Linked DNA regions of Arabidopsis thaliana. The protein of the gene in region 1 binds, or shares a complex with, the protein of each later gene. Each region holds a gene or a part of one and is shown in the gene's direction. Other genes may lie near its edges.

What was found.
Region 2: AtPOT1a (region 1) and NAP57 share a complex: the UniProt entries of both Arabidopsis thaliana proteins name them as parts of the telomerase holoenzyme complex.

The regions. Positions count from the first base shown.
Region 1 is NC_003071.7:1,882,256-1,898,439, forward strand, and holds AtPOT1a (Nucleic acid-binding, OB-fold-like protein), read left to right. Parts: upstream 1-8,428; 5' UTR 8,429-8,989; intron 8,990-9,215; 5' UTR 9,216-9,295; intron 9,296-9,458; 5' UTR 9,459-9,558; coding exon 9,559-9,685; intron 9,686-9,819; coding exon 9,820-9,956; intron 9,957-10,028; coding exon 10,029-10,221; intron 10,222-10,326; coding exon 10,327-10,424; intron 10,425-10,577; coding exon 10,578-10,657; intron 10,658-10,798; coding exon 10,799-11,065; intron 11,066-11,169; coding exon 11,170-11,246; intron 11,247-11,353; coding exon 11,354-11,412; intron 11,413-11,493; coding exon 11,494-11,652; intron 11,653-11,734; coding exon 11,735-11,941; 3' UTR 11,942-12,259; downstream 12,260-16,184. Other genes in the region: AT2G05220 (Ribosomal S17 family protein), read right to left, coding at 12,502-12,924. UniProt on the Arabidopsis thaliana protein: Component of the telomerase ribonucleoprotein (RNP) complex that is essential for the positive regulation of telomere length. Binds RNA non-specifically. Binds specifically single-stranded telomeric DNA.
Region 2 is NC_003074.8:21,149,378-21,163,923, reverse strand, and holds NAP57 (homologue of NAP57), read left to right. Parts: upstream 1-7,848; 5' UTR 7,849-7,971; coding exon 7,972-9,669; 3' UTR 9,670-10,109; downstream 10,110-14,546. Other genes in the region: AT3G57170 (N-acetylglucosaminyl transferase component family protein / Gpi1 family protein), read left to right, coding at 1,665-1,766, 1,860-2,000, 2,087-2,193, 2,283-2,504, 2,742-3,236, 3,489-3,898, 4,007-4,100, 4,193-4,304; AT3G57160 (cysteine-rich TM module stress tolerance protein), read left to right, coding at 5,082-5,211, 5,417-5,633, 6,027-6,072; SDP1-LIKE (sugar-dependent 1-like protein), read left to right, coding at 10,609-12,027, 12,106-12,249, 12,340-13,182; BOP1 (Ankyrin repeat family protein / BTB/POZ domain-containing protein), read right to left, coding at 13,897-14,546. UniProt on the Arabidopsis thaliana protein: Plays a central role in ribosomal RNA processing. Probable catalytic subunit of H/ACA small nucleolar ribonucleoprotein (H/ACA snoRNP) complex, which catalyzes pseudouridylation of rRNA.

The DNA.
Region 1 (16,184 bases):
TCCATATATGATCAATCAATGCATTACGAAGAGAAAAATGAGTCTCTTTATTTTTAATCTGTAGATTACGAGCCAAAAATTGTTGAAATACTTTGAATATATAAAAATTAAAGGACTAAAATGATAAACATAGTAATTTGTAAGATTATTTATGAAACATTGAATTTTAGGGACTTAAATGCAAATAAAAAAGATGAAACTTCAAATTTAGAGTATTGAATAGTGATACTCCAAATATAGAGTGTCACTATTCAATACTCTAAGAGCATCTCCAAGAGATACTCTATCCCCTCAAATATAAAGTTTTAGGTTCTCCAAGAGATACTCCAATACTTCATAATTTAGAGTATTGAATAGTGACACTATATTTGGAGTATCACTATTCAATACTCTAAATTTGAAGTTTCATCTTTTTATTTGCATTTAAGTCCCTAAAATTCAATGTTTCATAAATAATCGTACAAATTACTATGTTTATCATTTGAGAATATTACGTAATTAGACACTTTTTGGAAACTTAATGCCGATTAAGGCACTTTAAAAAGATTGGGCACTTTTCTAAGCCAAATTGTCCAATTTGCCCTTCTAACTATAACTTCCTCTCGTGATAATATTTTTTGACTTATATCTCTCATTCTTCTCTCTCTTCTCTTTCTTTTTTCTCACTTTATCGAAAAATAAACAAAATCAAGCAGAACAAAAAAACAACTTTTCTCATTATTTTGCTATTTCTTTATCTTCTCATCACAAGTCAATTCACCAATTCGTTCTCCTATTTTGATCTTCTCGAATTCCTATGGTTTCATTGGAATCTGAGATTCAGTTTCGGCTAATTGAATGTACTCGCTTCATTAGTCAAGTTTTGGCACTGGTGGAGTACAAAAACGGCAGGTGTGTAAATGACGAAAGCGAGTACATTTAACGACAGAAGAAACAGCCAGTGATTCGCGACAGGAGATTTGGGTCTAGATCTAAAAGTCATTACTTTATTCGATGTCTCTTCTTAGTTGTTTCTCCAACGGATTTGTTATGGTTTCTTGCGACGGTTGTCTTTTATATGGTGATGAAGTGTCTGTTGGTTGGTGGAGGCGATCGAGTTGTTGGTGGCGACTGAAGCGATCGAGTTAATGAAATCCTTGACAACTCTGAAAAGAGAGGTGGTCCTCCACGCGACCAAGGATCTTTTATTGATTTTCGCAGTTTTATCTCAAAAAATGGATTATGGGACCTAAAATATTCTGGAAACCCTTTCTCGTGGCGGGGAATGAGATATGATTGGTTTGTTCGCCAACGATTAGACCGTGCAATGTCCAACAATTCTTGGCTGGAAAGCTTCCCCTCTGGAAGATCTGAGTATCTTCGTTTTGAAGGTTCTGACCACAGACCTTTAGTGGTGTTCGTTGACGAAGCTAGAGTTAAGCGGAGAGGACAGTTTCGTTTTGATAACAGACTCAGAGATAATGACGTTGTCAATGCCCTTATTCAGGAAACTTGGACAAACGCAGGAGATGCTTCTGTTCTCACCAAGATGAATCAATGTCGTAGGGAGATAATTAATTGGACAAGACTCCAAAATCTCAACTCTGCTGAATTGATAGAGAAAACCCAAAAAGCTTTAGAAGAAGCTCTCACAGCTGACCCTCCTAATCCAACTACCATAGGAGCCCTCACTGCGACGTTAGAACATGCTTACAAGTTAGAAGAGCAGTTTTGGAAGCAACGAAGTCGAGTTTTGTGGTTGCATAGTGGTGATCGAAACACCGGCTACTTTCATGCAGTTACCAGGAATAGGAGAACGCAAAATCGCCTCACTGTGATGGAGGATATCAATGGTGTTGCACAGCATGAGGAACACCAAATTTCCCAGATTATATCGGGCTATTTCCAACAAATTTTCACTTCTGAGTCTGATGGTGATTTTTCAGTGGTCGATGAAGCTATTGAACCCATGGTTTCGCAGGGAGACAACGACTTTCTAACTAGAATCCCAAATGATGAAGAAGTAAAAGATGCTGTCTTTAGTATCAATGCGAGTAAGGCGCCTGGTCCTGACGGTTTTACAGCGGGTTTCTACCATTCTTATTGGCATATTATTTCAACTGATGTTGGAAGAGAGATCCGGCTTTTCTTCACTTCCAAGAATTTCCCTCGCAGAATGAATGAAACACACATCCGTCTTATCCCTAAGGATTTGGGACCTCGTAAAGTTGCAGATTATCGACCAATTGCCCTGTGTAACATCTTCTATAAGATTGTTGCTAAAATCATGACGAAGAGGATGCAACTTATCCTCCCAAAGCTCATCTCTGAGAATCAGTCCGCCTTTGTGCCCGGTCGGGTAATATCAGATAACGTCCTTATTACTCATGAAGTTCTTCATTTTCTCCGCACCTCATCTGCAAAAAAACATTGTTCAATGGCGGTTAAAACCGACATGAGTAAGGCGTATGATCGAGTTGAATGGGACTTCCTCAAAAAAGTCCTTCAAAGATTTGGTTTCCATAGTATATGGATAGATTGGGTGCTTGAGTGTGTTACCTCTGTTTCCTACTCCTTTCTCATCAATGGGACCCCCCAAGGCAAAGTTGTTCCTACTCGGGGGTTGAGACAAGGCGACCCTTTATCCCCCTGCCTTTTCATTCTCTGTACGGAGGTATTGTCAGGTCTTTGTACGAGAGCGCAGAGGCTGAGACAACTCCCGGGGGTCAGGGTATCCATTAATGGTCCGCGGGTAAACCACTTACTCTTCGCCGACGATACCATGTTCTTCTCAAAGTCTGACCCAGAAAGCTGCAACAAACTCTCTGAAATCTTGTCAAGATATGGTAAAGCTTCAGGTCAGAGCATCAATTTTCACAAATCCTCTGTCACCTTTTCATCAAAAACCCCACGATCAGTAAAAGGACAAGTCAAGAGAATTCTGAAAATTAGGAAAGAAGGAGGCACTGGAAAATACCTTGGATTACCAGAGCACTTTGGTCGTCGTAAGAGAGATATCTTCGGGGCTATTATTGATAAAATCAGACAAAAATCTCACAGTTGGGCATCTAGATTTCTCTCGCAGGCCGGAAAACAGGTTATGCTTAAGGCTGTTTTGGCGTCGATGCCTCTCTACTCCATGTCTTGCTTCAAACTACCCTCAGCTCTATGTAGAAAGATCCAATCCCTGTTAACTCGATTCTGGTGGGATACTAAACCGGATGTACGAAAGACATCTTGGGTCGCTTGGTCAAAGCTGACAAACCCAAAAAACGCTGGAGGGTTAGGCTTCCGTGACATAGAACGATGCAATGACTCCTTGCTTGCAAAGTTAGGATGGCGGTTGTTGAATTCCCCGGAATCTCTATTATCACGAATCCTTTTGGGCAAGTATTGCCATTCCTCCTCCTTTATGGAGTGCAAACTTCCTTCTCAACCCTCTCATGGTTGGAGGAGCATCATAGCTGGAAGAGAAATCCTAAAAGAAGGTCTTGGTTGGTTGATTACTAATGGAGAGAAGGTTAGCATTTGGAATGATCCTTGGCTATCTATTTCCAAACCACTAGTTCCTATTGGTCCTGCTTTGAGGGAACATCAAGATCTCCGGGTTTCAGCTCTAATCAATCAAAACACACTCCAATGGGACTGGAACAAAATCGCTGTCATTCTCCCTAACTACGAGAACCTTATTAAACAACTCCCGGCTCCATCTAGTAGAGGTGTTGATAAACTTGCTTGGCTTCCAGTAAAATCTGGACAATATACCTCTCGCTCTGGCTATGGCATTGCATCAGTAGCCTCAATCCCTATACCACAAACTCAATTCAATTGGCAATCAAACCTTTGGAAGCTTCAAACCTTGCCAAAAATCAAACACCTTATGTGGAAAGCAGCGATGGAAGCTCTCCCGGTGGGAATCCAATTGGTAAGACGCCATATATCACCTTCAGCGGCTTGTCATAGATGTGGTGCACCAGAATCGACCACTCATCTGTTTTTCCATTGTGAGTTTGCTGCCCAAGTCTGGGAGTTAGCTCCCCTTCAAGAGACTACAGTCCCACCTGGTTCTTCTATGCTAGATGCACTAAGCCTCCTCAAGAAAGCAATTATTCTACCCCCTACAGGTGTTACTAGTGCAGCGTTGTTTCCTTGGATCTGCGGCATATATGGAAAGCTAGGAACCAGTTAATCTTTCAAGAATCCCATTTCTCTGCAATAGAGACAGTGACAAGAGCTATTCTTGATGCTCTGGCCTGGCAATCAGCTCAACGGTGTTTACCAAAGACTAGAAACGTTGTACACCCAATATCTCAACTCCCGGTCCTTAGATCCGGATACTTTTGCTTCGTGGATGCGGCCTGGATAGCGCAGTCGTCGCTAGCAGGTTCGGGGTGGGTCTTTCAATCAGCAACGGCGTTGGAGAAAGAAACCGCTACCTACTCCGCCGGTTGTCGTCGGCTTCCTTCAGCCCTGTCAGCTGAAGCTTGGGCAATCAAATCAGCCCTTCTACATGCGCTACAACTGGGACGAACTGATCTAATGGTGCTCTCAGATTCCAAATCGGTGGTTGATGCCTTGACTTCTAACATCTCAATTAATGAGATCTACGGTTTGTTGATGGAGATTCGAGCTCTTCGAGTCAGCTTCCATTCCCTCTGTTTTAATTTTATTTCTCGTTCTGCTAATGCAATTGCGGATGCTACCGCTAAACTCTCTTTCTGTAATGTTGATGGCCGTGGAACTTTATCTTCCGGTTATGTACGTTTGGTTTAGTTTTAATGAAATTGGGTTTTGACAAAAAAAAAAAAAGAATAGTGACACTATATTTGGAGTATCACTATTCAATACTCTAAATTTGAAGTTTCATCTTTTTATTTGCATTTAAGTCCCTAAAATTCAATGTTTCATAAATAATCGTACAAATTACTATGTTTATCATTTGAGAATATTACGTAATTAGACACTTTTTGGAAACTTAATGCCGATTAAGGCACTTTAAAAAGATTGGGCACTTTTCTAAGCCAAATTGTCCAATTTGCCCTTCTAACTATAACTTCCTCTCGTGATAATATTTTTTGACTTATATCTCTCATTCTTCTCTCTCTTCTCTTTCTTTTTTCTCACTTTATCGAAAAATAAACAAAATCAAGCAGAACAAAAAAACAACTTTTCTCATTATTTTGCTATTTCTTTATCTTCTCATCACAAGTCAATTCACCAATTCGTTCTCCTATTTTGATCTTCTCGAATTCCTATGGTTTCATTGGAATCTGAGATTCAGTTTCGGCTAATTGAATGTACTCGCTTCATTAGTCAAGTTTTGGCACTGGTGGAGTACAAAAACGGCAGGTGTGTAAATGACGAAAGCGAGTACATTTAACGACAGAAGAAACAGCCAGTGATTCGCGACAGGAGATTTGGGTCTAGATCTAAAAGTCATTACTTTATTCGATGTCTCTTCTTAGTTGTTTCTCCAACGGATTTGTTATGGTTTCTTGCGACGGTTGTCTTTTATATGGTGATGAAGTGTCTGTTGGTTGGTGGAGGCGATCGAGTTGTTGGTGGCGACTGAGAGAGCGTTATGACTTATTCATCATCTTGTTCTATATATGTATAACTTATGTGTTGGTATAAACAACCATATGGATTGCACATCTTGGACACACATCAATGGACAATGTTGCATTTGTTTACCATTAATGTGTCATCGCTGGATATGGATCCATTATATAATTATGATAATGTCCATACTCTATACACAAGTGAATATTGGTCAAAGAAAAATGGACGGTGTATTTCTGTTGAGATTGAGTTCTTGATTAAATATGTAAGATAAAATGCTTCAATGAGAACATGAATAAGAAGAAGAAGCTCAAGCAAAAGAAGAATATGCATGGGAGAAGATGAAATAATAAGTGATTGGGCTAATTGTTTTGTTAGGCCTAAATGAGTAAGTGTGTTATGTTAGTTAAAGTTTAGCTTAGTGAAGAGTTGTTAGAGTTGTTGTTGTGTAGGAGTTGTTGGTAAACCTTGCTTGTAAGCTTGGGTATACCTTAGAGACTAGAGTAATGATGTCTTAAAGTAAGGTCTAGGTCTAAGTAGAAGCATAATGCAAGTGTGTACTTAGTAGAAGTAAACTAGTATGAATATGTGTGTGTATGTCTTATAATAAGAATCTATCTTTGAATCCAATACAAAAATGTTGACAACTAATGTTTTCACTTTTCTCTCTCTTACTAATCGTTTTATGTCTTCGTGTCAAAACAAGAAACTAACCAAAGACTGAGAGAATGAGAGTGAAGGTTCTTTTTGTGCTTGAGTTAAAATGAGTGAGTGAAACAAAGCATTAAAGAGAACTAAGAGATGTAAGAGAAGTGAACCTCTAAAAGTTAAATAGAGGAAGAACCCAAAAGTTCAACAAATTTTTTATCAACGATTATTGTTCATGTATAAATTTGTGCATTGATATAAAACAAACTGTGAGTTACTAGGTGACCATTTGGACTTGATTGTTTGGACACTCGTCAGTGAACAATTATATCTTTAAAAAGAATATCTAAATGATTTAGAATGACTAAATGTTCTTTAAGAATCAGATGGATGAAACTTTGTGGACAACAATCGTACCAAAAGCACCACATATAGCTTTTCCAATTCTTAACATGTAAGACCAAAAGATTCACAACTCTCATCATAACAATCTGCACAATCCACGATGCGTCATCCATAATGTGCCATCCATATAAACATTCCATTATCGTCATCCACATTGTTAGAACTAAGATACAAACATTCCATAAACAAGCAAAATCTAAAATCTAAAAAGCCAACAATCATATGATCAGTTTAACGTCATCAAATTCAAGAGAGTGGCCAAGTGCTATGCAATGATAAGAGTATCCATATACATGTGAACAAATTGTCAAAACAAATTGGTGATTGCAGCTAATGTAAAAAGTCATATGGATATAGAGGTGTGGATAGGTGTGTGATCTAAACACATCATTTCTAGATCCGGAAGATGTATCTGTTGGGAAACGATAGCTCCAATAAAACCAAATATCACATCTTCCCTAGCATTTTTGAGATAGAAAGAGATTAACACAAAGTTATTGTTAGCCAAAGTTTTTGAAGACCAACTACGTATCTATAGGCTGGAAATAGAGCAAAAATTAAACAAGGAATTCAAGGTGTTCCCAGAGAAGGGTATTAGAATTTTAACTGGAAAACTAGATGCATTTTAACAAATCAAATTTCAATGTCAATTCACAACATTCATATCACTGGATCCTAACTTGGGATTGAGTCAACTACTTAATTTAAAATTCTTCAAGTAATTTGTCAAATCGATCCTAACTTGGGATTGAATCCTATCTTACTATTTATCAATTTAACATTCAATCTTAAGAAACAGATAAAGCCAAGTAAAAATCCAATACGAGAGAGGATAAAATTTGGTTAAAGATGCTCTTACCTCTCCCAAACAATGATTCAGTTTTTCTTCTTCCCCAATTCAAACATCCTTAGTGATCTGAGTTGAGACCAATATTTTCTGTCTTAATCTTCGGCGAATTGGATTTCTAATGTTAATAATCCTTCGATAAGAAACGATGGTGGTGGCCATAAGTTTTCCAGCGAATGGAGAAAAATATACAAAAGTAAAAAAAAAAAAAAAAAATTAGGGTAAACATAGATTTTGATTGTGAATTTAGGATAACCTCATAATTTTCATGATTTTGTAAAAATTATAGAGAACGACAATGATTTTGAAAGAGAGATTGAAAATGATGAAAAACAAAAGAATATGGAAGAGAGAGATGATAAAAGGGGGATAGTTTCTTACCCACACGATCTCATCAAAAATAAGTTTAATAATTATTGTGTCATCATTACTTCAGGGGTAAATTAGTCCAATTTCTCCTCAAAAAGATGGCAAAGTGCCTAATCCCTGAAAAGTGCCTCAAAAGGAATAAAATTCTTTAAAAGTGTCTAAACGTGTCACATTCCCTTATCATTTTAGTCCTTTAATTTTTATATATTCAAAATATTTCAACACTTTGACTCGTAATCTACAGATTAAAAATAAAGAGACTTATCTATCTCTTCGTAATGCATTGATTGATCACATATGAGAGCATTACGAAAATAATTTTATTGAGTAATTTGTAATTTATAAGTTAATTTATGTATTTTTAATTTTTATTTATATGTATTTTATTTATAAATGTATTGTTTTGTTAATTAAGATTATGTGTAATATTTTAATGTATGTTTTAGTGTTATTATTAAAGTTATATAGTTTTAAAATAATTATGAACAATATAAAGACTATAATGCAAAACACATATTTTAGAAACTTCATATTTAAAGTATACTCTTGGAGAAGAAACTACTCATACTTTATATTTGAAGTTTACATACTCTATATATAAAATATCTTTTGGATATGCTCTAAATTATATTGGATTATCTTTTAGAGAACCTAAAACTTTATATTTGAGGGATAGAGTATCTCTTGGAGATGCTCGTGGTAGTTCAATATTGTACCTTAACTGTAACGTAAATGTTGTTATCTTTACTTAGACGTCTTTGATATGTAAAAATTCTATCTCTGTATCCTGTTTGTACTGGCCTCTCCAAGGTTCACCATTATTGGATGATGCACTGGGTTGATATATATAACATAACTTTTTGGCAAAAAAAAGAAACAAGAAAAAAAAAACAGTCTCTTTGGCGATAGCGATTTGGTCGGAGATTTCTCCGATTACATTGATTGGGACTTTAGTGAATCTTCACAGAAGCAACTTCACGGAGAACGGCGAGAAGAATGTGGAATTGAGAGCGTCGTTAGAGGATCGAGAAGCGTCGGCCGTTTCACTGGAGAGATCTAGTGTTGTTCGTTGATGAAGGGGTTCTAATTTCGATACCTAACGGAATTGATCATTGATAAGGTCTCATTCCGGTGGCAATCGTCGTCGCCGGAAACAATGTGCACAGATACGACCTTGAGGTTAGTTTATTCCTTTAAAATCTAATCACAACAAAATATATCATTTGTATTCATGGGATTATGTTCATTGTAATGGATTTGAGGATTTGGTAGATAAAAGTAGTAAAAATTGTGGATTGAAGAATTTTCTTGTGAGAGATGGTTGATGTAAGGGAAGGATCATATTCTGGAACATTTGTTAGCTTTGGTTACTTCTCACCATTGTGATGAAATTTGCTATATCCAGGGGATGATTCAAGTGAGAGAAAGATAAAGTTTTTTTGCCTTCAGTCTGATTCTGCATTGAATACTTCCAGTGGGCTGCAGGTTAGTGCTTAGTGTTCTTTTGATATCCTTGCATTGTCATTCCGTTGATGGCTATTCTATTGCCTCCAATGTATACTCATTCCACTTATTGGCTCCAATGTATACTCATTCCACTTATTGCCTCCAATGTATACTCACTCCACTTATTGGCTATGGGCTGCAGGTTGGTGCTTAGTGTTCTGTTGATACTCATTCCACATATTACCACTCTCTAATTTTGTGACGTCAGGATAATACTTAAAAACGTTGTAGCAAAGCGGGAGATGGCGAAGAAGAGAGAGAGTCCCAAGCTCATCAAAATCAAAGACGCCATTAAACTCATCAACCAACAAGTCAGTCTCATTGGTATCGTCCTTGAACAAAGAGAACCAAAACAATGTCGCAACAATGGTACTTATCCAAAAAAAACCAAAATTTGAGTTAAATACATAGAATTTTGCTTGAATCTGAATCTTAGTTGGTTTGTTTTGTGAAAGCCCTAACATTTGACCCAACAAAATCTGAAAGTTGGATTTTTTTCTTAGATTGGATTTGTACGCTACGGATAATTGATGATACGTATCCAAGTCCTGGACTTACTGTTAATGTATTTAGTAAGACTCTTGAACAACTTCCTCAAATCAAGAACCACGACGACATGATTCTGTTTACTCGCATTAAGGTACAAAGACCTCTTCATTTTCCTTCTGTGTTTTGTGCAGGAGGTTATAAAGTTTGGATTTTTATTGTGTAGATGCAAACTTTTGATAGTGGAGAAAGAGTAAATGCTGCTTGTAGTAGATGGGTTTCTTCCTTTGCCTTGTTCGAAGGTGTGGATTTTGTTTGTTACCAATGTAGTACCAATTTTCATGAAGAAGAAGCATTATACAAGAGTGCCATGGATGATTTACGCAAAGTTTTTGCGGGTTGTAGCCAAGTTATTAAAGGTAACACTGTGAGCTTCTTTTGCTTTCAACTATGCATATAGTATAATGGCTTTGGATAGCTTGGAACGATTCTCATAAGCTTTCATTTACTGTTTTGGTACTTAGCTATGCAGAGTATATCTTACAGAACAAAACCTTGCTCCGAAGTTTTTTCCTTCTTGAGAGAGATCAAGATAGGAAAACGCTTTGATTTGGTGTGCAGGGTAATATGCTCTATACTCTCTATTAACTGTGAGAAAGCTTTTTAACTCTTCATTCCTCTATACCACTTCATTGTTACTTCAAATCTTTTTTTGGCTCCTTTTATGTTTTGTTGACTGATCCTACCTTGTTTCCTGCTGTTTCTTGTGATGGAGATTCTCCATGCCGATGAAGATACTAGCGCTGTTTTTGTTTGGGACGGGACTGATGCACCCCCAGCATCTATTCTGGCTAAGTGAGTATTAACTGCGAAGGAAAAAAGTTTTAAATCCTCACATTATCTGTTTTGAGTCATTCATTTAGGCTTGACTCTACGCTTTCCATATCCTACGCTTACTCTTCTTCTATTTGGTGTACAATGTTTGGCTATCGACAGGAGAAGTGAAGAAGACAAGGCATTTAGCAGTCTCTCTGTTCATACTTTACTGTCAAGAGATGTACTGCTCAGCTTTCCAACCGTTGGAACGATCTTGAGAGTTCATCTAAGCAGTCATCTATTTTATCGGGTTAAACCTGGTGATTGGGTGAAACTTTACCATTTACTCTGTGAAGTTGATAGAGGATCTTGGGTAATCAAAGTTACCAGCTCTACAAAGGTTCATCATCTCGCTCAAGATGATCGTTTAGTTGAAAAGATCATGAGGTTTGTACTTCTTGATATTTCTTTCAGTAACTACTTCCGACCTTTTTGCATACCATGAGAATCTCTTACCATTTTGTTTTATAATCTAATGTGCCAAAAACTAGGATATATGATAAGAGACTATCATCAAAGTTGGGACACATTTCATTCTGGTGTTTTCCGTCACCTCCTGGATTAACAGGTTGCAATACTTCTCTTTTACTTAATGAGCAGGATCTAATCTCAACGAATGTTTTTCTCTGTGTCAATCTTTAGACAGACTTCCTTAACATTCTTGGTGTCTTGCAGAGACAGATGACAATTGTGCCCCATTTGTTACACTGATGGACATCATAACATTCCCCAAGGTACCATTCATGAATCTATTTGCTGTATTCCCTGAAAAGATTAAGAATACTTTTATGTGATCGCCTACGTTGTTATTACAGGTTACATGCAAGTACAGATGTATTGTTCGGGTTGTAGCTGCATATCCTTGGCAAGTAGAGGATTTCTGTTCAGATGAGAATCGCCGTCACCACCAAGTTTTGTTGACACTGGAGGATTCAACAGCGACTTTAGAGGCTTTCTTATGCAATAAAGACGCAGTAAATACACCATTTGGTCTATTTGCATCTAAACTGTCAACAAAGATCGTCTCTGATAGCCTAATCTAGATTTTATTGGCAGGAGTACTTTTGGGGTTTAGGGTTTCAGGACACAGAGACGCTGAGGAAGAAGCGGAATTGGTTGCTCGGTATACGGGAAAGCTCGAACTTTGTGGCTCCAAGAAATCCACCATGGATCGAGTGCTGCATCCTCTCCTACTATACTAACAAAGCTGACCCGTGGAATACTAGATTATACAGAATCTTTGGTACTAGACTACTTCATTAAGTATTTGTAAGTGTTAAAAGAGGATTAAATAGTTTAGTATTAGGCTCATGTTAAGAATGTTGGATTTGGCTTACTTAAGTATGGTAGTTGTGTTGTTTTAGTTCATGAAGACCTTGTAACCAAAAGAACATCTTCATGATATTAACCAAATCCAAAGACTGAACACAAAAATATCTTCCTCTAGACCTAAAGAGTTAATAGAAGCAGCAGGCAATATACACATTTTCATTGTGGAACAACTCTACCTTGTTCAAAGTTTTAAAATGGTTTCGACCTGTGGAATGTTTCACTAACAGTCCTTCATAAAACTCCACAATCTTCGCTGATACAACAACTCTCCCATGAATCAACTCGGATCTGATAAGCAAAAAGTATTGGTACTATCAAATGTTTGAACTCCAATTTTGGTTCCACATAACTTAAAAACCATTAATACGAAAGAGTCTCACATTGAGTTTAAGACATAATCAGAAGAAACAATAAACAACCACACAAGTCTTTCTTGTCCCTAACTGAGAAAAAAGAGAGCCAATCGTAGCTGATGATTAGCTGAGGCCATCTTAGTATCTTCTGGGTGCCCTGCCGCCGAAAGCAGCGATTGGTGCCATAGCTTGTTGTGGCTCGACTGCAGAGATGCCGGATGTGTCAGACATTCCTAGAGAAGCAAGCATCTCAAGAGTCTCTTTGTCGACCTTGATCTCATCAGTCTTGATAGCAGACTCATCGGGAACAAAGTCCATACGGCGTTCACGCTCTTCTTCTTGAAGCTTGAGTGAGATTCCACGGACTGGTCCCTTCTGGATACGTTTCATCAAGTGGGTGGAGAATCCAGCAATCTTGTTGCGGAGTCTCTTTGATGGGATGATGGCAACCTCTTCAAGGATCTTCTTGTTAGTGTGAAAGTCAAGAGTCATGCGAGAGTAGTACTTCTCAATGACTTGACGTGAAGATTTCTTCACCGTCTTGGTTCTAACACGCCCCATCTTTCAGTGACTTACCTGATGAGAGGAGAAATTCCATGTCTTATTAAGGATTCAAAATCAAGAAACAACCAAGTATAGATGATTTATGTCTTAAACTTCAACATTCAGGTTGAACACTAAACAAACACAGGAACCACATGTAAATGCAATGTCAAATATTGTCAAGAGAATTGAAAATGAGTCAAGTAATATACATCAACATAACGCTCAACTTGAAAGAGGTCTAGTGTTCTTATCAAACAATATAAGCCAAATTTTATACATACATTTATATTCAGCCTAAAAGAATATCAACTCACGACACACTTTTGCTGAATGAAACACAAAATAAGAGAAATTCAGAAAACAACAGAACCTCTTCACACGTTGGTATAATATACAATGCCTAATATTAAGACCAAAAACTCAACTGCATTAGAATCTTAATTAATCAGATACAAAAGCTACATTATCAATTTTGACACATGAACATCAAAATCAAGCAACCTATAACAATTCACACAGATACAACAAGAATAGCAAACTATCAAGTCAAAAGTCATGTAAACGTGTTCACTATTATCCACTAGTCTTCTCAAATTGATTTCATCTTAGTTAGTAGATGAAACCCAAATTCAACATTACAGTAATCAACACAAACAAGTGAGAGTGGGCAATATAAATCTAATGTTGTCAAACCCATTACTCAAAATCTACAGACCTAAAGAACTTACAATCGAAATCTAATGTTGTCTGAGATCAGATTTATGAATACTCACCGGAGACAGAGATGGAGACGGAGACGGAGACGGAGACGAAGAGAGGCAGAGAGCGATTTCGATTTGGAGATGCGAGAGAGGCGGAGAGAAGTAGAGAAAATAGGGTTGGTGAAACATTAACCTTATATAGGGCTTCTAATACTCGGTTTAGGTTAACCCGATCGGACTCTGATAACCGAACTGACCCGAACCGAATACCGATAGCCCAAATTAATTTTTCCGAACGGTTTACTTCTCTGCTACTTCAATTCGCAATGATTCGGTTCTTCCGGTTTGCTTTACTCGGGTTTAACCGGAAATCCAGGCCTATATGATTTTTAGGGTATATGGTTCAATTTTTGATTATTTGTTTTCGATTTATTTTATTAAATGATAAATAAATAAATATGTTTTAAGAAAGTTTAAGGTATAGGGTTTAATTTTGAAACTTAATGTTTTACTATTTTATCAATGAACAAAATAAAATGCAAAAGAGTTATTAAAAACTTAATCATATTTGATTAATCTGATTACATATAATTAATAAATGAATGTCAAAACGTTTGAGCATAATTAACAAAACGTTTGCTTAATTTAATTAATATATAGGAACAAAATAAAAGTTATTTTCTGTAGTTGTACTCATGTATTCAATACTAGGATATGATCCACGGTATACTGCTGGATAATTTTTTTTTTTAATGTTGATGTTTTGTGTTTTGACAATATAGTTTATGTTCAGTATGGTTATTGTATTTTTTTCCTACTGCTCAATTATATATTCGGTTGTGTGTATAATTAAAGAACACGTATTTAAGGTAACGATAACATTGGTTATTCTACGGATTTATGGAATTAGGCGATATAATATGTATATTTCTGTAAGCATATGATTTTGAATGGTTGTTGATGTTTTTTTTTCTTATATAAAAACTATATCTTCTGTGGTGGGTATAAGTATGTGACACTTTATTTTCATAATGATATTTAGATTTAGTACTTGTATTTATTTTATTTATGCAATGCAATGTGGATATCTCAAGAATGTATATTAATTTGGACAGCAGGTAATTAAAATAACAATTATGAAATTCTAATGATGTATCATAAAATTGAAATTGAAATTAGTAAATGTGTTTGTCACAAATTTCTAAAAACAATATATGTTTGTAACATTAATAATTTTGTTAGAAACTTGGTAATTAACAAAGCCCATTACATTTACCTCTTTTGTTTAAAGCATACTGTTATTGAAGCCCAAATCTAAAACCGAAGCCCACTTAATTTTTTCCAGCCCAAACACTATTAACAGTTTTTACTGTTACCAACGTTGAGAAAAAAAACAAATTTGGATTCAGTTTTTTTTTTTTTGTCAATCACATTCCGATTCAATCTGAACCCAGCTTCTTCACAACACCATATCACTGATCGATTGACAATTATTTGCGATCAGGGTTTTGATTCAGTTTTTGTCCACTTCTCAATAGATGATGCTATAAATTGATGAAAGATTAGAACATCATATATTTATTGTTTTAATTCTGTTATTTAGCAATGACATATAAAGAGAGAAAATATTTTATGAAATTAAAGCCATTAAAAACATTATCGAGACATATCCGAAGGAAGTAGTATTGAATCAAGTATCTAGAACTAAACATTCTAGAGTAAACAAAATTTCTGAAGAGAGTAGTCACTGAATCAAGTATCTAATTTACTTCTTGTATAGTACATTAATAAGTGTATCTTGTTCTTTGCTAAAGGAACTCACTTACATTTCCAACAGTATAAATAGTATAGGCAAAACATCCAGTTATATATGTTAAAACAAGGAAACCAAACCCAACAAGTTTATAATCTGAAACATCCACACAAGCGTAATGAGTCGATGGTATAATAGAGACATCAATTGTTTGCAAAGCCAGAGGTCGAAACGTATAACCTGGGCATATAAGGGCATACAAAACAATTTCAAATTGTCATTTATCACAGGAAAGCCTGAGATTCAGAGCTAAAGAGAAGGGGAAAAAAAAAAAAAAACCACCTAATAAAAGAGAGATGACAAGCACACAACATGAGACATTCCTCAAAAAAAGTTATGATCCCACAATAGTCTATACTCCACATCATGTCCTGTATTTAACAATCACAAAACCTCAAACTAATCTAGAACTTGAATTCTCAATTGCAACTAGGCCTGGGCAAAATACCCGAACCTGAAGAATCAAACCAAACCCGACCCAAAAAATCCGATTCGAATCCGAACCCAAAATTTTAAAATACCCGAATGGATCCTAAACTTCAAAACCCAAAAACCAGATCCGAACCTGAACCCGATCAAGTACCCGAACATATCCAAAATATATATATAACAAATAATTTATCAATAATAATCATATCTACAAGTCTACAACAACTTAAATGCCTAAAATATTTGGATTTTAAGTTATTTTGTATATTTTTAGGTATTTTACCTACTTTTAGATAAATTCGGATAGAAAATAATCAAGTTTTTATAAATTT
Region 2 (14,546 bases), on another chromosome or scaffold:
ATTTCAGTGGCTGGTCTTGGCTGGTTATCCCTGGGCCTCAAAGGTGCAGCAACACTAGCATTGTGGACTTATCAGGGGATTGATGTAACCTTGAGAGAACCATTGGTTATTGACCGCGCACCATATCTTGAGCGGCCTGGCTTCTGGTTGCCAAAAGCCATCACCGAAGTGCTTGGAACACATTCTAGTAAGCTTGTTGATGCTCGTAGGAGGAAGAAGCAACAAGACAGCACAGATTTTCTCTCTGATAGTGTTGCTTAGTATAACCTGTATCGACTTATTATTAGCTTTCATCAGTGTAGTCATTTTGGAAAGTTTATATTGGTTTATGTATTTTAAAACAATTTTAAATCCACATCGACTATTTATTTATTTCAATTCATTTTAAAAAATTCATATGATTTTAGTGGATTATCAAATAAGCAAAGTACTTTTAAGATTTTGTGTGTTTGTATGTTTTAACTAAGAAATCTTCAAGCATTTAATAACATCCTCAGCTTTTTTCCAAAGTACAGTATTAATAAAAATCTATTTTAGAAATAAATTCTACAGTTTATTTCTAGACATAGTTGAGAATTTAGACAAATCCACTATATTGTAACAAAAAGAACAAAGTGTGTAGTGTTGGTTGAATTCAAATTTGTTTAATCCAGTGAACCTCGTTATTAAGAAAAGCCCGGCCCATAGTGAAAAATATCTATCTCTTCCCCTTGTCGCCGTTGGTCTCGTCGCCGGAATGTATCTTTCTTCCGGTTGCAGAACCAAGTTTCGACTCTAGACTTCCTTCTCTCCTGAAACACGAGGTTCGTCTTTTCGTGATTAGATTTAAGTTGAATTGAAGAATTTCTAGGGTTCAGATTTGTGTTATGAATCTCGGTTCATCTTTCCGATCGCCAATTGCCTTGTAGAAGTTGATACTACTCATCGTCTCTTCTTCGATGCGAGTATTTTTCTGGGGTTTTACTTTACTTACATAGTTCTCTAGTTCACATTTGAAGTTGTGTCTTCTTAGATCGATAAATTACTCTCTTTTATTTTGGAATTTTCTCGTATTATGTTCACTTTTTCAAATTCTTGTTGATATGTTGTTCTCTTTCGTTTGGCATTTTGGGAATTGTGTGGCAGAGAGCTGAAATGAAGAGAAAATGTAGGATTTGGTTGCCTAAACAGCTCGCATCAACTGATGATTTGAGTCACAGTCTATTGTTTGGGTGGTTCGTTTGCCATTCCTCTTCTTGTCTTGACGTTGTTGTGTCCTTCATCTCTGATGAGAGCTCCTTGTCCAATGCCGGATCTAAGCTCCAAGTAATAACTCCACCTCAACAAAACAAAAAATCCTTTTTCTCTAGCTTTTTGATAAACAGTGTATGCGACGTTTCTCTTTTGTGATTTCTAACAGGATGTACTCCGTGAAACAAATGAGAAGATGCCCTCAACTTTACGGGACAAGGCAGCATTTACACTCCTTGGTCGTTATGATATAAGCCGTAATGCTAATGGAAACGTATCAAAGATTATAAGAGACAAAGATATGTCCCGCAAGGCTGGAGCTTATGTTAGGCCTTGCAAATATAGTGGCCTCAGTTGTGGTTGTCATAAGGTTGATGGCTTATTAGAGGATTTCAGGAAAGATTCTGTGAGAAATTACTGGATTCATATGGTGCATGATTCTGCAGAGCATAGAATTATGGAATTCCATTCAAGTTCTAGATTGCATCATATACACTGGAATGGGGATATTGTATCTCAATGCGATGTCCACGTATGTAAGTCATGATGTCTTTCTCTTGTTTTATTCTTTTCTGAACCTACACGCTGCCAGTGTTTGACTCCCTTAAACATGGACATGTCATTGTCAGGTCATAGTCTATGACACTCCAGTGTTTGGTTCTCACCATTTCTCGTTAAGCTTTTCGAATTCTTCTCCTCAGACAAAAGCTCCTCTTAAGAAACCCAAGTGGGTTGATGATCTTCACAATAGGAAACCTCTGAATGAAATGGTTGAGTAGTTTCCAAAATGCTTCTCTTTGTTGTGGTGTTTCTTTCTCGACTTGTTACTAATATTCTCTCATTCTTATGTAAGCAGGAAACTGTTATTCTTTCCTTAAATTGCGCCGCAGCTGCCAAGATTGCCTATAAGAAGATATCCACGCAGCTGGAGACTTCTTCCCAGAACTTTTCCATTAGTTACTTGTAAGCCCTCGTGATATTTTTTTTTGCCTTGTTGAATTCTTTTCTTCTTTGTTGTTAGTTGTTCCAACTGCTTCTATCTTGCTTTTCAGGATATCTTCTTTAACATGGCGGTTACTCGCCACAATTTTAGGCTCTTTATCAAGTCTGTATTATAGCCTTGCCCAATTCTTCTATTTACTTTCAAGTTTTCTGATTTTTTCATGGGTGCACATCGCATCGAGGAGGGTACTCAAGAATACATGGATCAACTTCAGGATACGTAGTTGTCAGATCTTATATTGGCCAATCTTCCTTGAAGAGATTGACATGATGTAAGTTCAACCGTATACCCAAATTTTCTTCTTTAGTTAGATTTGTAAACTTTTTCTGTTTGCCCTTGGCTCAAAATTGCATCTTCATATTTTTTTTTCTAACAACAACTGCTTACCTACTAATCTTGGGAAATAAAAAAAGTTTAATTCTAGATACCTTTATGCAATGCATTTGTCATTTTTCTGAGAAGTTTCACACGATTATTAATTTATGACAATTCTTCTGGGTTTCTCAAGGTCCATATCCTGTGTGAAACATGCAGAGGAAGCTGCACTGCAAAGACATTCTACATGGTCGGCCATGGCTGTTGATCTTGTTTTGGGGAACTTGATTGGTCTAGGTCTACTGTTTAACACCGAATCTGTCTGCTCATTTGTATTCGACTTTGCAAAGGAGTTTACGAATGGTATTTTGCGGTCTGGTAGTGTGTGGTTGATGGGAGTTCCAGCGGGTTTTAAGTTAAATACAGAATTGGCTGGAGTTTTGGGCATGGTATCTCTTAATGTAATACAGATATGGTCTACTCTCTGGGTCTTCATGGCTTCTTTCATCTTTTGTTTGATAAGAGTAATTGCCATCCTTGGAATTACTTTTGGTGCCACAGTATCTGCCGCATTTGTCATAGATGTCATTACTTTTGCAACACTTCATATAATGGCTCTTCACTGGGCAATCACACTTGTGTATTCTCACCAAATCCAAGCCTTAGCAGCTTTGTGGAGGCTTTTCAGGTAAATCTTGAGTATTAAATTAGATGAGTTCATTCATTAAGCTGATAACTAACATCTGGTGAATCGGTTTCTTGGTTTTCTTAAATCTAAAAGGAGGAGACATGCAATACGTTTTCCGTTTCCTTTTTAAACTTCTTGAATTCAATGAAAATACTAAAGTATTGTTATATCTTCTTACTGGTGAACCATTTTTGTTCACCTCAGTTCCTTACTTAAAGTAACCTTACCTTGAATTCTTCTTTGTTCTTCCAGAGGGCGAAAATTGAATCCTCTACGTCAAAGAATGGACAGCTATGGTTACACTGTGAAGCAACATGTAGTGGGATCTCTTCTGTTCACTCCTCTTCTGCTTCTCTTGCCAACAACATCAGTTTTCTACATCTTTTTCACCATTACGAGCACTACAATAAACTCCATATGTATGTTGATTGAATTTGCCATCTCCGTCATCCATGCAACACCATATGCAGAGGTTATGATTTGGCTTGTTAGGCGTAAAAGATTCCCCTGTGGTGTTTGGTTTGAAATGGAACACTGTGGAGAGCATATCCTTAAATCCAATGATGCCTTCGAAGACTCCAAAAGTCTACTAGAAGAACACGGTACTCCTGAGAAGAATTCTCTAATGGTTTCCAATCTTCGCAGCAATTTTCTAACCTTAGGTAAACTTGTAGATTGTTCCAAGTCTAATGACAAGTTAATCTAGATGATCTGTTATGCTTTTGTTTGGTATTCAATTTTTGCTGACATTTATATTGAACAAATTGCAGGACAGATTCTTTTGCCTCACTATAAAACAATTTTTTCAGGAATATCAGCTTCTTCTCTGACAACATCAGCTCGCGGAGTCCTCAGTGGGAAGAGGTGATTTTATATGATCTTGATCACAAAATTTAAGTCATTCTCTCTCTCTCTCTCTCTATTCAAAATCATTTACCTTCTCTCGTCTTTTCCAGAATGCCATCAAAACTGGGGCTTGATCTTCCTCCTCCGAGGCCATGGCTCCACATGCCATTGAGACAGTACTGGATGCTATGCCATAATTCCATCAGCTCATGTGGCAAATGATGACTTCTCCAGCTGATCTCTTAGCGTTTTAATTTAACTCCACAAGACAATGAGATAACTAGGGGAGTAAGGGGTGAGAATCGTTAACATTGGAAAACATGGATTCCTTTTTCAATATTTGTGGCCCTTTTTACTTGATTTGTTCATCAGCCTTGTCTCTGGTTTAACTATGTAAAAATCTTTTGATTTGATCTATGAAAAACAAATTATATGAAATTAATGATGATTTTTTCTAGTGAAATTATATTGCTGATGAAATTTGGTTGCATGTCAAAATGTAAATAATTTAATTAAATATTCTGTTGTTTTTCTGATTTTCTTAAAAAGTTGAGGAATATGAAAAGTAAAAAAAAAAAAATGTGGTAAGATTCTTTTTTTTTCTTGAATATAATTGCTTTTGTGAATTTACGGAAAAGAAAGTTTTTAAAAATTAAGTTAAATACAAGAAAAGTGAGAAAATAAATTTAAAGTTTGAAAAATAAATAAATGTAATTAATATCTAAAAATTAAAAATCCTTCCAAATTAAATTAATGTAATTAAAATAGTCAAAGATAAATGTAACAATATCTTCTTATAGGGCTTACCAAAAAAATATCTTCTTATAGGGAATAGAATCTGGATTCACTTCCCAAAAGCAAAAGTTAAAAAAAAAAATCAAGAAAATATTTAGGATATACATTTAAAACATAAAAAAAGTTGACTAAGATATAATTTGATAGGATAACCGTTAGAAAATACCTTTAAAAAGAGTAAACCTAATTCGCCTACAAATAAAAATGCGCTTTTCCTTTTCCTCTTTCTTCTCACTTTTTTTCTCTGTTGCATCATCTTCCAAACTCCCGAAGAAGAAGAAAATAACTACAATGAGTCAACAACCTCCTGCTGTTGGTGTTCCTCCTTCTCATGGTCACTCCTTACTCTTCTGCTTTTGATTATTTGAATTATTATGGTCTCACTTCTCTTCGCTTTTTGTTTAAGATTTGAGTTTTTTCTAACTACTTCTCCAAAATATGATATAAAGTGTTGTTTAGATTCTGAATTTTGATTTCGAAATTCGTGTTATTCTGCTTTGATGGATCTGAATACGTTATCTATATCTCGATCTGAATAGCTTATCCGGCGGAAGGACCACCCAAGGACGCTTATCCACCTCCGGGACAACCCTATCCTCAGCAAGGATATCCTCCTCCGCAGGGATATCCTCAACAAGGTTATCCTCCTCAAGGTTATCCTCCGCAGGGGTACCCTGAACAAGGATATCCTCAACAAGGTTACCCACCTCAGCAACAACAGCAACAGAAACACAGTCCTGGTATGCTTGAAGGATGGTAAGTTATTTGCTCGACTTTAAATTGTTCTTTCAATGTTTTTTCAGTTTTTGGTTCGAGAATTGTTGATCCTTAGAGAGAATTCATGGTTTTTTATATCATTTGATTGAATCGGTAGTACCATGTCATGTCACGTTTGTTCATAAGTTTGTTTTCATTTGGATTTGGTCCTCACCTTATAGTAATGCATAGAAAGATGTTGAATCTGATAGTGCTGATCTGAGTGTAAGATATAATTCAAACCTCAGAACCGAAGGTTATTAGAAAAGATGTGTGCCATCATGTCTTCATTACTCAGAAGTTTGTTTTCTTTCTCACTTTGTGGAGTTATCTGGCTAATACATGTTGTGTTCAGTACTGGATATGACTGAGTATGGTGATTTGCTTTTGCAGTATTGCTGCTCTGTGCTGTTACTGTGTCTTGGACGCTTGCTTCTGAGTGGAGGTCTCCGCTTGAAGCTGCAAAATTGGTTTATACCGATGATCTCATCTCATTCTCTTTCGTTTCTCTACAGACTTGACTCTCTTCTAAGCATTTTATCTTAGTTACTATTAGATTATTTGGATTTTGCCAAATGGGAATGTAAATGGTTGGGTGACCCAATTCATGTTGCACATTATTGGCTTTTACCCTCTGCTTTTTCTTCCTAGCTTCATCTAATGATTGCACCCTATTTATTTAGTATGATCATTTTGATACCAAAATTCAACAATTTGTAAAACTGATAACACCTTCATAGCCAACTTAAAGAACTTGCTTTTATATAAGGCAACGATAGAAAGAAATAAGAACAAATTGTAAAGAGCTAGGACAGTGATATTTGCGTTGAAATTACGCTGGAATTACAAGAATTCAAAGATCCACACGAGGCACATTAGAGGTTTTTTAAAATCTAGAAAACACTCTGTTTTTTGGGTTAAGGTCAGCCTTAAATAACAGCCAATCCTGATATACCCTTGAAACTTGATAGATAAATGACCTTATTGAGTTAACGAAAGAAAAGACATGAGAATTGATGAAGCTATGACAAAAACCAGATGTATCACATGTCATCTTCGATCCAAAGTGGCTGCTTCTTCCATGTTTGTGACTGATTAGTCTTCTTTTCACGTATAAACAGAGACAGAGAAGCACGAGTTTCATCAATCACTACTAAACCATCTCTCTTTTGGGTTTTCTCCAGTTTTGGATTGGTGGCGACAAGGCTTGTCGTAGCCGGAGGAGAAGCTCGTGGGTAGAAGAAGTCGGTCGGGAAGAAACTATATTGAAGGCCGGCCATTTCCTACTTCAGCCCAGTGTTTTCTCTTTGGTGAGTTTTAGGTTTAAAGAAAAATTGTTTGTTTGTTAAGCGACTATTTATTGGCGAGACAAGAGAGAGAGCCAGAGAGCTGACTTTACCTAAATGCAGAAACTTAAGGTGTAAAATGTAAAAGTCTGAAACAATGGGACCTATATTCTTGAAAAAACTTGGGGTTATTTTTGTTCATTATGCGAATCAGTTAGCGTAAATAAGGATATTCGAAGAATTATTTCACTATATTCTAGGGCGGTGGTTGATTTGTTCAAGAATTTTAGAATCAAATCGAAACACTTCACTCGAAACATTTTAAAATCGTGATAATTTTTCATGTCTTTGAATGGCCACATAAATCTTATGGTATTTATATATGCGGAAAAAGAGAGTAGTATACACTTAACTATATTCATCCATATTTATGATTTTCTGTGGTCAAGACTTGGTTTTAGTAATATAAGGATTGTCTTCTTGTTACTGAAAAAGACAGACGTTCGACTCTTAATATAATAATTATCACGAGGCGTTATTCATGCTTCATTAGGTTTATATGACCAATCAATACTTCTAATTATATAAGCAGTTTTATTAACATAACATTCAATTGTCTCGTATCAAAAGAGCTTTTTTCTACATTTTGGGCACAACAAAAGAGAACCTTAATTATCTACACAAAAAGGGTTATATTTACTTTGAAGTTTGAACTATGAAAGGTCTTTAAACTGGTATTCACTTCACGAATGATAATATTCAAACGAATTGAACTTGTATGAAAGTCCAATTAAAGGTTTTATCGGGTATATGGACCTCGTTTATTTGGGCACTAAACGAATTGAACTTGTATAAAAGCCCAATTAAAATCAAAGAAACCCAACTCAAGCCCAATAAGGGATTACCTTCAAGCTTCCAGTGTCATCACTGTCGCCTAAAACCCTAAAAAACCCTAGTCCTTTATAAATTACCAATCAGTCGTCTCCTCTTTTTCCGCTACAACTTTTAACGCCTCCTCCTCCATTTTTCAAAACCCTAATCCGACCGGAGCCATGGCGGAGGTCGACATCTCACACTCGAAGAAGAAGAAGCAAGACAAAACGGAGAACGATGCCGCCGACACCGGAGACTACATGATCAAGCCACAGAGTTTCACTCCAGCCATCGACACTTCTCAGTGGCCCATCCTCCTCAAGAACTACGACCGCCTCAACGTCCGTACCGGTCACTACACTCCAATCAGCGCCGGTCACTCTCCTCTGAAACGTCCTCTTCAAGAGTATATCAGGTACGGTGTCATCAATCTCGATAAACCCGCGAACCCTTCTTCTCACGAGGTCGTTGCTTGGATTAAGCGTATCCTCCGTGTTGAGAAAACCGGTCACAGTGGTACTCTTGACCCAAAAGTCACTGGAAACCTCATTGTCTGTATTGACCGAGCCACACGGCTTGTGAAATCGCAGCAAGGTGCGGGTAAAGAGTACGTTTGTGTTGCTCGGCTTCACTCAGCTGTCCCTGATGTTGCTAAAGTAGCTAGAGCTCTTGAATCGCTCACTGGAGCTGTGTTTCAGAGGCCTCCTTTGATCTCTGCTGTTAAAAGACAGCTTAGGATTAGGACAATCTATGAAAGCAAGCTGCTTGAGTATGATGCTGATAGGCATTTGGTTGTTTTCTGGGTTTCTTGTGAGGCGGGTACTTACATTAGGACTATGTGTGTTCACTTGGGTTTACTTCTTGGGGTTGGTGGGCATATGCAGGAGCTTAGGAGGGTTAGGTCTGGGATTTTGGGTGAGAATAATAACATGGTTACTATGCATGATGTGATGGATGCCCAATTTGTGTATGACAACTCCAGAGATGAGTCTTATCTTAGGAGGGTGATTATGCCTCTTGAGATGATATTGACGAGTTACAAGAGACTTGTTGTCAAGGATTCTGCTGTGAATGCTATCTGTTATGGTGCTAAGTTGATGATTCCTGGGTTGTTGAGATTCGAGAATGACATTGATGTTGGTACTGAAGTCGTTCTTATGACTACCAAGGGTGAGGCGATTGCCGTTGGGATTGCTGAGATGACAACATCTGTGATGGCTACTTGTGATCATGGTGTGGTAGCTAAGATCAAGCGTGTGGTGATGGATAGAGATACCTACCCGAGGAAGTGGGGATTGGGACCAAGGGCTTCTATGAAGAAGAAGCTTATTGCTGATGGGAAATTGGATAAGCATGGGAAGCCTAATGAGAAGACTCCGGTTGAGTGGAGCAGGAATGTGGTTTTGCCTACCGGTGGAGATGCTATAATTGCTGGTGCTGCTGCTGCTCCTGAGGAGATAAAGGCTGACGCTGAGAATGGAGAAGCAGGGGAAGCGCGTAAGCGTAAGCATGATGATAGCAGTGATAGCCCTGCTCCTGTAACAACCAAGAAATCTAAAACCAAAGAAGTTGAAGGAGAAGAGGCTGAAGAGAAGGTGAAGTCTTCTAAGAAGAAGAAGAAGAAGGATAAGGAAGAGGAGAAAGAAGAGGAAGCCGGGTCTGAGAAGAAGGAAAAGAAGAAGAAGAAAGATAAGAAGGAGGAGGTTATAGAAGAGGTAGCTTCACCAAAGTCTGAGAAGAAGAAGAAAAAGAAGAGCAAAGACACCGAAGCTGCTGTTGACGCAGAAGATGAATCAGCAGCAGAGAAGAGTGAGAAGAAAAAGAAAAAGAAGGATAAGAAGAAGAAGAACAAAGACAGTGAGGATGATGAGGAATGAGATGGGTTTGCGTTATGGTGCTTTTTAAGTTTTGAACTCTTTTGATTTTGCGGTATCTATCTACTCTGGAACAAAGTGAGACAAAAGGCATTTTATGCTTGTATTCTACGTCTCGCTTACGTTACCAGATTTTATGTTTTTGTAAGGTTAGTTTCAGTTCTAAGCAGATTCTCCCTTTAGTTATATGACTGTGGTCTCTCTCTCTGTTTTTGGTCTTTGCCCTTCTTGTCTGTCTGTTTGTCTGTTTGGCAACGAGGATAATAATAGACCTAAATCAGTATTAAAAGTTACGGGTTTTTAACTTTCAACAAACGGGCCTTAGCCCTGACCAAAAAATGGGCCTGATTACGAGAACTCAGTCCTTTGTTGTCTGTCGCTGGGTCTAGAGATGATTATCTCGGATAATACCGAACTTATTTAATACGAACCAGAGATGTTTGAATTCAACGGTTTTATATTCGTCGAGTTTCAAAAAACAGAGACTATTTGTGCAAAAAGACAATTTTTTATTCTTTTGCAATTTGTCGTGTTCGCGAGTTTATGTTCCCAAAATTAGAAAGTCCAAAGATTAGCTTGGGTCTTACTTAGATCGCCAATTTTGTCTCATAGCAAAAATGAATCTCAGGTTTCATTTAAATGAATTTCCTCTGTTCTTCGCTAAAAACGAAATCTTGAAGTCCTCTATTATACATCGGAATCTTTTCTTTTTCTATGTTATCTTGCAGATCCCTATGCCTCCCATCACTTGCTGTCTCATCTTTCTCAATTTCATTCCTCGGTGGGTTAGCGATATCTCCTTCTCTTCTCTAATGGGTTTGAAAAAATCGATTTTTTGATTCATCTGATTCTGGTCTTACAGACAAAATTGGCATCTGGGTTCGATTCTTTGTGTCCGTCGTAAAAACCAGTGATTAGGTTCTCGTCTTCGAGTCGGAGACAATGGATATAAGCAACGAAGCAGGCGTTGATGCGTTCTCAATTATAGGACCCACGACTATAATCGGAAGAACAATTGCCGTCCGGATCTTGTTCTGCAACTCCGTGTCTATATTCAGACACAAAGTTTTCAGAATTCTCAAATTTTTCCTCAGAGGAGGTAGGGTTTTACTATCACCGTTTGTGTCCTTGCTACATCCCAGGAATCCACAAGGGATATTAGTAATGGTGACGACGATGGCCTTTCTGTTGAACCGCTACACAAGCTTAAAAGCAAAGGCTGAGATGGCTTACAGGAGAAAATTTTGGAGGAACATGATGAGAGCTGCATTGACATATGAGGAATGGTCTCACGCCGCAAAGATGCTAGATAAAGAGACTCCCAAGGTGAACGAGACAGATCTTTTTGATGTGGAGCTCGTAAGTAATAAGCTTGATGAACTTAAGCATAGACGTCATGAGGGCTCTCTTAGAGACATTATTTTCTGTATGAGAGCTGATCTTGTGAGAAATCTCGGTAATATGTGTAACCCTGAGCTTCACAAGGGAAGGCTTCACGTGCCGAGACTCATCAAAGAGTATATCGATGAGGTCTCTACACAGCTTAGGATGGTTTGCGACATGGACACTGAAGAGCTTTCTCTGGAGGAGAAACTTTCTTTTATGCATGAGACCAGACACGCGTATGGAAGAACAGCTCTACTTCTCAGTGGAGGAGCTTCTCTTGGGGCTTTCCATCTTGGTGTGGTCAAGACGCTTGTGGAACATAAGCTATTGCCAAGAATTATAGCTGGTTCAAGCGTGGGGTCTGTAATGTGTGCGGTTGTGGGGACAAGGTCATGGCCCGAGTTGCAGAGCTTCTTTGAAGGGTCCTGGCATGCTCTGCAGTTCTTTGATCAGATGGGAGGAATTTTCACTACTGTGAAGCGGGTTATGACTCAAGGCGCAGTCCATGAGATCCGGCATCTGCAATGGAAGTTGAGGAATCTCACCAACAATCTCACATTCCAAGAAGCTTACGACATAACAGGACGGATTCTAGGGATAACAGTTTGTTCCCTGAGGAAACACGAGCCGCCTAGATGTCTCAATTATCTGACTTCGCCTCATGTTGTGATATGGAGTGCAGTGACTGCATCTTGTGCTTTCCCAGGTCTTTTCGAAGCTCAAGAACTCATGGCCAAAGACAGAACTGGAGAGATTGTTCCTTATCATCCACCATTTAACTTAGATCCTGAAGAGGGCTCAGCATCAGTTCGGCGCTGGAGGGACGGTAGTTTGGAGATGGACTTACCGATGATACAACTCAAAGAGCTTTTCAATGTCAACCATTTCATTGTCAGTCAAGCCAACCCTCACATAGCACCCTTCTTGAGGATGAAGGAGTTTGTGAGAGCTTGTGGAGGTCGATTTGCAGCAAAGGTATGATTCATAATCTATCTAGTTAATCCACAATACTTATAATCCAATGCCTAATTCTATCTCTTAATCATTCCAAAGCTCGCGCAACTCGCGGAGATGGAAGTGAAGCATAGATGTAATCAAGTACTAGAACTCGGGCTTCCTCTAAGAGAAGTAGCTTCACTATTTGCTCAAGAATGGGAAGGCGATGTCACAATTGTCATGCCAGCTACTTTTTCTCAGGTAAACTAAATAATGATTCCCAACTAGAAAACTTCCTCACTCTTAATCCAATTATTAATGTATAGAGGTTCTATATGTTTCCGGGTTCAGTACTTGAAGATCATACAAAATCCAAGCAATGTAGAGATTCAAAAGGCAGCAAATCAAGGAAGGAGATGCACCTGGGAAAAACTAGCAGTAATCAAAGCAAACTTCGGGATCGAACTAGCACTCGACGAGTGCGTCACCGTTCTTAACCACATGCGCCGCCTTAAACGCAGCGCAGAAAGAGCCGCTGCTTTCTCCGCCATCTCTTCCTCTCCACCATCTAAACATCTTTTGGCCGGAACCAATAGATTCAACGCCTCCAAAAGAATCCCTTCCTGGAATTGTATAGCTCGTCAGAACTCCTCCGGATCCGTCGATGATGATGTCCTAGCTGAAGCTTCACGGTTGTACCAGCATATCGTGGTTGGATCTGGGAGGAATAGTAATCGAACCAGTAACTTAAGCCATACCTATGACGCAGGAAGCGAATGTGATTCTCCAGAAGCTGAAGATTGGACTAGATCTGGCGGACCATTGATGAGGACCAATTCTGCTCAGATGTTCACTGACTACGTCCAGAATCTCGACGCCGTTGATCCGGAACAGATTAGAGCTTCGGAGAACGATTCGATTGTAGCTGCTTCGTCGTCTTCTCATAGCATCACTGTCACGGAAGGCGATTATCTTCAGACGGGAAGAACACACAATGGATTTGTGTTGAATCTCGTTAGAGGAGAGAATTTGAGGATGAATTCAGAGCCGGAAGATAGCCAAAACGAAAGTGAAATTCCGGAGACTCCGGAAAGCGTGCAACTTGATTCGCCGGAAAAGGACATTATTGACGGAGAGAGCTCGGCGTCGGAAGACGGAGACGCTCAGGCGAATCTAATCCATGACCATGAGTAACACTGTAGACACTTATGACTGACCAAGTCAAAGAGAATTTCCTCTCTTCTAAAGGACTAGGTTGCAAAACCTATACAGTGCTTCAAAATTTTGTAGAGTAGTCCTCTAGTTTTGAGAAAATCTTATTTTAGCCACAAAGCTTCTTCAATTTTCAAGTTTCACCAAACTATTTTTTTCCTTCGGAGCAGAAGTAATGTTATTATATTATTGCAGGATTTGTATTTTTCATATGGCTACAAAGTTACAAGCTCCGACCATTTGTTGTTTGTCTTTGAATACACTAATGTACATATTGTAGTGGTGATGACATTGACACTTCCATAAATGTTGGCTTTTTTTCTTTGCTATTATTGTTTTTTTTAGCCTCACTTTACCCAAAAGGAAAGGAAATGCTACGATCAAGATCACTGTAATGCATTGTTTGATTATAAGAAAATTGAATAATGTAAATCCAACGACCTAATATTAATCAAGCTTATACATGTCAAGATATAACTCAAGATCTTTATCCATCTATATATAAATGACCCTTTTGTTTGTGTTCCCTTCCACTCTCCATGACTCCATGGAGTTAACGTTTAAATTTGTTCGCATGGCCATATACATAGAGAAAAAAAGAATACCATAACAACAATTTAATTAGATATTGAATATGTTTATCTTAATTAAAGGATGATGGTTATCAAAAAAGGATGATAGGGACTACAAAAAGACCTAGAAATGGTGGTGGTGGTGATGATACATCGTTGATGGGTCATGATGATGATGATGCAGATTCATTCCTTCCCTTTGATTGCTATTGTCATCTCCAATATCACGATTTGTAGCACCAAGATTCAGATAAACCAATCTTGAATCCAAACTACTTCCGCTCGTGTGTTCGTCTTTCATCCTAGGGTAGATCATTGTGTTGTTATCGTTACTGTTATTGTTTCCTTCTTCGCGTGATATAACCAATGCCGCGGACTGGACCAGCTCGAGACAAAGCCTAAGCTTATTGGGCTCAATGTGAGTCAATCCAGGAATTGCCCCCTTGAACAAAAAATCTGACGTTAGGGTTCGAAGGATGTCGAGAGGAGTGATTCCATCCACTGTCTGGACGTTAGGGTCGGCGTGGTGGTCGAGTAAAACAGCCACCATGTCCGGAGACACCATTTCAGCCGCAATGTGAAGAGCGGTTTTCCCTGTGGGACCCGCGGGATAGTTCACATCAGCTGCTCCAAGCTCAAGAAGTGCCTTTACAACCTCTCTACTACAATTTTCAACCGCGTAAATCAAAGCTAGGGACTCATCTAGATTGAGTCCTTCTCCCATCACCATTAGCTTCACAAGCTCGACATCAGAGGAGTCCAATGCACGTCTCA